2 linked regions of the Sus scrofa genome follow. The protein of the gene in region 1 purifies or fractionates together with the protein of each later gene. This does not show direct contact. Links are inferred from orthologs where the notes say so. Each region holds a gene or a part of one and is shown in the gene's direction. Other genes may lie near its edges.

Region 1 (3,821 bases):
CTAGAAGAAATGAGAGAAAGAAAATATGATGGGTATGCCCGGGTGATCCAAAAAACTTGGAGGAAATTTGTGGCCCGGAAGAAATACGTCCAAATGAGAGAAGAGGGTATTGTAGTCACTTTGCTTCATGTATTTACAAAATCGCAAATTACTTTTGAGCTTAAATGAAGTCATGCGTTCATTTTCCTTCCCATATAGTATCGTGTGTTGAAAAATTGTGTTCATTTAGCGTTTCTCTCTGTGATTCCACACTGAGTGCTTTCCTCCTCCTGCTGCTGGGAAACTGACCCTCTTCTGCCTTTTTGGGAATTGCAGCCTCAGACCTGCTGTTGAACAAGAAGGAGAGAAGGAGAAACAGTATTAACAGAAACTTCATCGGAGATTACATCGGGATGGAAGAGCACCCGGAACTCCAGCAGTTTGTAGGCAAGAGAGAGAAGATTGACTTTGCAGACACGGTGACCAAGTATGACAGGAGATTCAAGGTATGTGCTGACTGCCCGCCTCTGAGTCACACATCAGAGTCCTTAGGGTTTTGGGTTTTGGGGTTTTTTTTTGCCCTGCTTATCACATGTAGAAGTTCTTGGGCCAGGGATCAAACCCACATCACTGCTGTGACCCAAGCCACTGCAAATGACAATGCTGGATCTTTAATCTGCTGAACCACAATAGAACTCCAGGGTCATTAGTTATATATTTCTTTTTTATTTTTATTTATTTTTTTTTTGCTGCTTCTGTCTTTGGATAGGGTCCTTAGTTTTAAAAATAACTTATAGGGAGTTCCCATCGTGGCTCAGCGGTAATGAACCCAACTAGTATCCATGAGGATGTGCATTCAGTCCTTGCCCTTGCTTGGTGGATCAAGGATCTGGTGTTACCGTGAGCTGTGGTATAGGTTGCAGATGCAGATCCTGCATTGCTGAGGCTGTGGTGTAGGCCGGCAGCTGCAGCTCTGATTCAACCCATAGCCTGGGAACTTCCATAGGCCGAGGCTGTGGCCCTATATAAAGCAAAAAATAAAAAAAAGTAAAAGTAATATACAATTTTGCTTTTCTGATTATTAAAACAGTAGAAAAATTTACAAAATGCAGAGAAGCCAGAAGACAAATAACCACCCGTACCCAGAAACAAGCGCTGGTAACATTTTGTATTTAATCCCTTAGAACTTCTCTATGCACACACCTTTCCCGGCTGGTTTATGTCCTGGGTTGTTTTTCTCTTACAGTGTGTGGGAGAACATTCCATATTAATAGATGTGTCAGTATGAATTATTTTGTTTAGCTGCATAGTATCCAACAGTTACTTACATATATATATTGTCTTTTTAGAGCCACACTAGTGGCATATGGAGGATCCCAGGCTAGGGGTCAAATTGGAGCTACAGCTGCCGGCCTACATCACAGCCACAACATCAGATCCGAGCACATCTGCGAACTACACTGCAGCTCATGGCATTGCCAGATCCTTTACCCACTGAGCAAGGCCAGGGATCGAATCCGTGTCCTCATGGGTATAGTTGGGTTCATTACTACTGAGCCATGATGGGGGCTCTCACGATATGTTAAACCAGTTTCTTATGAGCTTCTTCTTTTTCTTTCTTTTTTTTTTTTTTTTTTACTATCATAAGTAAAAGGATGCAGTGAGCATCCTTACACTGGTCTTTACAGATCTTTAAAATAAACTGATAGGTGTGGAATCACTGGGTTGAAAGATTCAGAGTATCAAGCAAGGTGTTTACCCATCTCCCCTGAGGGAAAGACTAAGCAGGACTTTCATGTAGCCACTCGGGATGACTGTTTTTTTGTTTTTGTTTTTTAACCTCTTCCCTTAGACACTTTGTTTTCCCTGATAAAATCTTGGCCTCATAGTGAAATCTGAAATCTTGACAGCTCATGGACCCATTAAGAACATTTTTGTGTGTTGTTTCTTGTTTGTTTTTTGGTCAGGAAAGGAAAACAATGAAATAAATAACAAGATTCATTTAGCAAGAAGGATGATGATGTTTTGCTGAAACCAAATCATTCCTTACAACCTGAATGTGGTGCCAGCTGCTCTAGCGGTGGAGTTGAATGCAAACATGGGCTCTCAGTAGTGTCTGCGTGTAACACAGTATGCTTATGTTATATTTTTAAGGATTATCTGTGAAATTAAAATTTACCAATTTTTAAAAGGTGAAAATTTCATGGACTCACAAAAATTACATAGGCAGACACTTGAGGGATTCCTGTGTGAGAAACATTCTGTAGCAGTAGGGTCATCATATGCCTTGGTTTGCCCCAGACTGTTCCTTCGCACCTGTTGTCCTGACACCATAGGAGGATCCATATGAGTCTGCCGTTTTTGTAAGTCAAAGAGAGTCAAGTATCAGAGGTTTTATATACATTGACCTAATAATCATTAATAATGCTCACTTTTGCTCCCAAGAGATGTGGTTAGGTGATAAATGGAGTGGCCATCCAAAGGTAGCAGAATTTTGCCATCTGACACAGCTTCCCTTCACCTGGCACAAAGGCCCATCTTGTGGACGGCTGTCACTTTGACCTTTCTTAACACACCTCTCCTTGCAGAGTGTCAAGCGAGACTTGCTCCTTACTCCCAAGTGTTTGTACTTAATTGGACGAGAAAAGGTCAAACAAGGCCCAGACAAAGGCCTGGTGAAGGAGGTGCTGAAGCGGAGAATTGAGATGGAGAGGATCTTGTCCGTGTCCCTCAGGTGAGTGGGGGGTGGGGGCGGGGCAGCCCCCTCTGGCCTCAGCATCACCCTCTGCTACTCCACGCACAGCCTAGGGAAGGGCCTAGGCAGGCTCCCCAATCAAAATCGTGATGAAAGAGTTCCCACTGTGGCCCAGTGGAAATGAATCCGACTAGGAACCATGAGGTTTCGGGTTTGATCCCTGGTCTCATTCCGTGGGTTAAGGACCCAGCGTCGCCATGAGCTGTGGTGTAGGTCGCAGACACGGTTCGGATCCCTCTTTGGTGTAGCTGTGGTGTAGGCTGGCGGCTACAGCCCCAATTAGACCCCAGCCTAAGAACCTCCATATGCCGCTGGTGCGGTCCTAAAAGACAAAAAAAAAAAAAAAATGACAAGAACTGAGTTTCCTCTTCTTCCCTAGGAAGATCTGACCTTCATGGGTCTCAGGGCGATCTTATTCCTCAGGGAATGAGATGACAAGAAAAGGTGCCTTCTGATCTGCTCCTCTGATCAAGGGATCCTCGGATTCTTTGTTCTCATAAAATGTGAGAGATAAACCTAGTATGTGAAACAAGCCGAGCATAATTGCTATTACTGCGGTGGGGCCAAGCGTCAAGCCCGCCTTGCTCTTGTTGAAGACCTACCCCATTTCACCAGGAAAGGCCAAGCAGAGGTGGCCTTGAGGTCATCAGTAAAGCTTTTTTAGTTTTATGACAGCTGTGACCTCTGAGTGTCCTAAAAGGGAAGTTTTCTTGGAGTCCTTGAAGCCCTTCCTCTTGTTAATGCCCAGGATTGGTCTCCATAATCTGCAATCCTGGAGTCATTGCCAGATGCTCCCTTCAGCTCCAAGTTCACAGGCGGGAACTTGCTCTTCCTGTCAGCATTCTGGCTTGCTTTTGGCAGAGGGGCTTCCTTGCAGGCTGAGATTCCCTAACTCTTCATATGCTAATACTTCCTAGACTAAGCTCCCTCCTATGAGGGAGATCCTGTCAGTGCACTGGAAGCTAGTAAAAGAGGAAGAAAAGCCCCTTTGAGCCCAGCAGCTTCCTCCTTGAGTGCATCCTTCTGAAGATACCACTGCTTCTTGCCAGAGCAGCCTTCAGGCTGCATCACATTAAAAGTAGAAATG
Region 2 (3,821 bases), about 120 Mb from region 1:
GTTACAAAAAGAGAGAGCACCAGACATTCTGTTTCTCCTGATGGAAAAATCAGTGCTACAGATGGAACCGTCTTGCTAAAAAAATTGAATCTGAATCTAATTAAGCCTCTAGAAGTAATGTCAATTTATAGGCAATACAGGGGCACAAAGGAACAGGTTTTTGGGTTTTTTTTTTTTTTGTTTTTTTTGTTTTTTTTTTTTTGTCTTTTTGTGATTTCTTGGGCTGCTCCCAAGGCATGTGGAGGTTCCCAGGCTACGGGTCTAATTGGAGCTGTAGCCCCCAGCCTACGCCAGAGCCACAGCAACGTGGGATCCGATACACGTCTGCAACCTACACCACAGCTCACGACAACGCCGGATCGTTAACCTGTTAACCCACTGAGCAAGGGCAGGGACCGAACCCGCAACCTCATGGTTCCTAGTCGGATTCATTAACCACTGTGCCACGATGGGACTGTGCCACGACAGGAACTCCTGGAACAGTTTTGATAACAAGGATACAATGAGCAAAATCCAGACTGTTTGAAACTCTTTAAGACAAACTAGTTTATTTGACAAGTATATTAAAAGGAATGAAAAAAAAAAAATGAAAGGGGAACCTATAGGCTAAAAGAGATTGAAGAGGCAAACAAATCCATCATATTGTAAGGCCGTTATGAGACATACTGGAAAATTTGATATTATAGCTCTTTGGTAGTATTAAGGAATTAGTATTGAAAAAATTTAAGCTGTGATAATGGTATTATTATTATTATGTCTTTGAAAAAGACCTTACCTTTCAGAGATTCATATTGAAATATTTATAGATAAGATAATATGAAGTCTAGAATTTATTTCAAAGTAATCTGGACAGGGACGTTATAGGTAAGGATATATAAGAAATAATGTTGGCCGTGAGTAAATAATTCATGCAGTTGGGAAATGGGCATGAGTAGGTTCCTTATACTATCTTTCTACTTTGGTATGGGCTTGAATTTTTCTATAATAAAAAGTTAGCAAACAACAAAGTTTAAATAAACACACACACACATATATATATATATATATTTTTTTTTTTTTTTTTTGAGACTAAGAGAAGTTAGACTCTGGACAAAATAAATCCTGTAGATGATCAAACTAAATATAATTTTTTTTCCTTCTCTTTCATATTATTTCCATTTGATTTGTTTGACTGTTGAGGCTCTCCAGCAAAGTTTATTCAATTTGTTACAGGCAGATGTGTGTATATTTAGACTTTAGTGATAAAGGGAATCAGTAACTAGGGAGTGAGGAAACTTGATCAATGTGACCAGGGGCAGTGGGCACTTAGTAGAGCAGCAACTCTGTATTTGAGTTGGAAGTGTGTTGTATTTTACCTAAAACAAAACAAAACAAAAATATTTTCTGTTCTGCCCTGTGAAAATGGAAAAAAAAAAAAAAGCCACATGGTTTTCAAAGTGATGGCATGTGACCAGAACATCACTATTTAGGTGCCACCTAATAATCTAACTCTTCTTTCACCAGAGTGATACCAATTGGTGGAAAGGCACTTCCAAAGGCAGGACTGGACTGATCCCAAGCAACTACGGTAAGCCTGGCTGCAGTGGCTTTACTTGGGGTGTACTTTGTGTACTTTCATTTGTCTGATTCCTGAGGCCTTTCTGCTTCCTGCTGTGGCAGAGAAATCATTGGAGTCATTGCCAGGCTCGGACATTTTCTACTCTGAACCTGCCCTTAATAAAGTGGTCGTGGACACTGGAGGTACTTGAGCTTGACTTAAGAAAATGCATTGTAACATTCTTGAAAGAACCTAACATTTCCAAGGATAAAATGCTCATGGTTTTATTTCCTTCAACTCTTAGAACATTTTTCTTCTTCTTTTTCTTTTCCTTCTTTTTTGTTTTTCAGACTAGTCCTTTTGTGATGAGGTAACCTTGCTGTGTATATTAATTAATGTTTGGGGCAGTGATGTTCTTTAAATGAGTAATAGAGCAGTTTAGGGAGCTTGAGCCATGAGATGGGGCCCTGGCCATGAGGCTGGTTCTAATCAGAAGGGGGATAAAACAGAGTTTCATAAAAATCAGCAGAGTAAAGTAAAAAGCGCATAGGATTGATAAACAAGGGTCTTGGGTTTAAAACCTTCTTCTTCCACTTTGTAACAAGGGACCTTAGTTAAGGAATTTAACTGCTGCTCCTGGGACCATTTCTCTATGTGTCTAATGAGAGGGTTTGATTTAAATCACTTCTAAGATTCTTTTGAACTTGAGCATTTAGATACATCCTTAGACCAATAGGGCTGACATCAGGCACCAGTTCCAAACACTGGAAGGGGACTTAGGAAATTTCAGGAAGGTACGTAAAGCTCCTGGGGGAGTGGAGAGGAGGAGAAGAAGGGAGAGGGGAGGAAAATGAGTGAGGTTGAGGCCTGAGTCTCAGCACAGGGGTCCCACTTACCAGTCTAAGGGCCATACCATTCTGGATTTTAAGACTTCAAATGTTTCTACACTCCTCTAACCTTTGAAATCCCAAATAAACTTCTACTATGCATCCCAGACCCAGCTGGTTACAGACACTGAGGGTATAAAATATTCCTCTGTTGCTTTAGATACCTCGTAGCCAAGGGAGTGTCCATAGCCCTTTGTGTGGGAGGGGTGGGTCTGAAGTCACTTGGACAGCAAGCTTCACATGGTCACTCTGACTGACTCTAGGACAACAGTGAACACACCTTCTGTAGAGGCAAGTATAGGTGTGCTGATTGCCCTTTCTGAATGCAGAAAGCAAAATATTTCTCCTTTACCCCATTCCTCATATGCACACAAGGGAGACAATTCTTTTTAGCCATCTTCAAAGCAGGATGTTTTTATAGTATGTAAAAGTCAACATCAAATGCTTTCTTTTGCAGTTTCCTGACTAAATTTGTGAAACACTTGAGTAAACTGGTGTGCAGACCTTGGATCTGTTTTTGATCATACTTTTTCTGTTGTTGTTTTTATTCATACTTCCAGTTAATTGCTATGTTTGTTTCTGTTTATCCTCACAGTTAATTGCTAGGTTATTGTTTTAGCCTGGTTTCATTTGACACATAATTCAGCTTCTTTCAAAGCACAAAACATCATTTTGATTATCTGTCGTTTTTTTTTTTTTTTAAATCCACATTAAGTAAGGGAAACTGTACGATGGAAAGTCGTGGTACTTCTGAAGCTGGGTGGCCTCTCAGCACTGGTTTTTCCTTTTTCTTTTCAATCTAGTGGCTGAACAGGCAGAATCCATTGACAATCCATTGCATGAAGCTGCAAAAAGAGGTAGGTGTGACTCTTTTTTATTGTGATACACAGTATGGTAAAACACACAGATGTTAATTATCTAGTTTGATGAATCTGACAAATATATACACCCATGTAAGATCAAGATCAAGATCTGGAACATTCCTATCTCCCAGAAATGTTCCCGTCCCAGTTAAATCCTTGCCTTCCCCAGAGGCAGTCTTTGAACTGCCTGCTTTCACTTTAGAGAAATATGTGGTTTTAATTTCCAGAATGCCAGTCCACAAATATTTGGGAGTACTTTACCTGCCATGTGCTTAGTGGCAAGTGGAAAGGCATGGTCTATGACTCCCCGAGCTCAGAGTCTGGAGGAGGAGAGACATGTGTAGCAGATCATTACAAGACCTTGTGATAAGAATAGCAATTGAAGTGTGATAAGAATAGCAATTGAAGTGTGTTTCAATTAAGTAGGCTCTAGAGGCCAGAATGAGTAACAAGGGTAGAGGACGGGGTCTTCTTGGGGGTCCAGCATCTGGGAGAGTTGCTATAATGCAAGCATGTATGGTGAGGATGCAGCAG

What was found.
Region 2: the proteins of MYO1E (region 1) and OSTF1 purify together in Homo sapiens (co-immunoprecipitation; 3 studies listed by BioGRID and IntAct, counting the BioPlex papers as one, with this or other methods). This does not show direct contact. The link is inferred for Sus scrofa from reciprocal best matches to the Homo sapiens genes MYO1E and OSTF1.

Annotation. Positions count from the first base shown.
Region 1 is NC_010443.5:112,862,377-112,866,197, forward strand, and holds part of MYO1E (unconventional myosin-Ie), read left to right. Parts: coding exon 1-106; intron 107-315; coding exon 316-485; intron 486-2,567; coding exon 2,568-2,713; intron 2,714-3,821. UniProt on the Homo sapiens protein: Actin-based motor molecule with ATPase activity. Unconventional myosins serve in intracellular movements. Their highly divergent tails bind to membranous compartments, which are then moved relative to actin filaments.
Region 2 is NC_010443.5:228,176,643-228,180,463, forward strand, and holds part of OSTF1 (osteoclast-stimulating factor 1), read left to right. Parts: intron 1-1,503; coding exon 1,504-1,567; intron 1,568-3,227; coding exon 3,228-3,281; intron 3,282-3,821.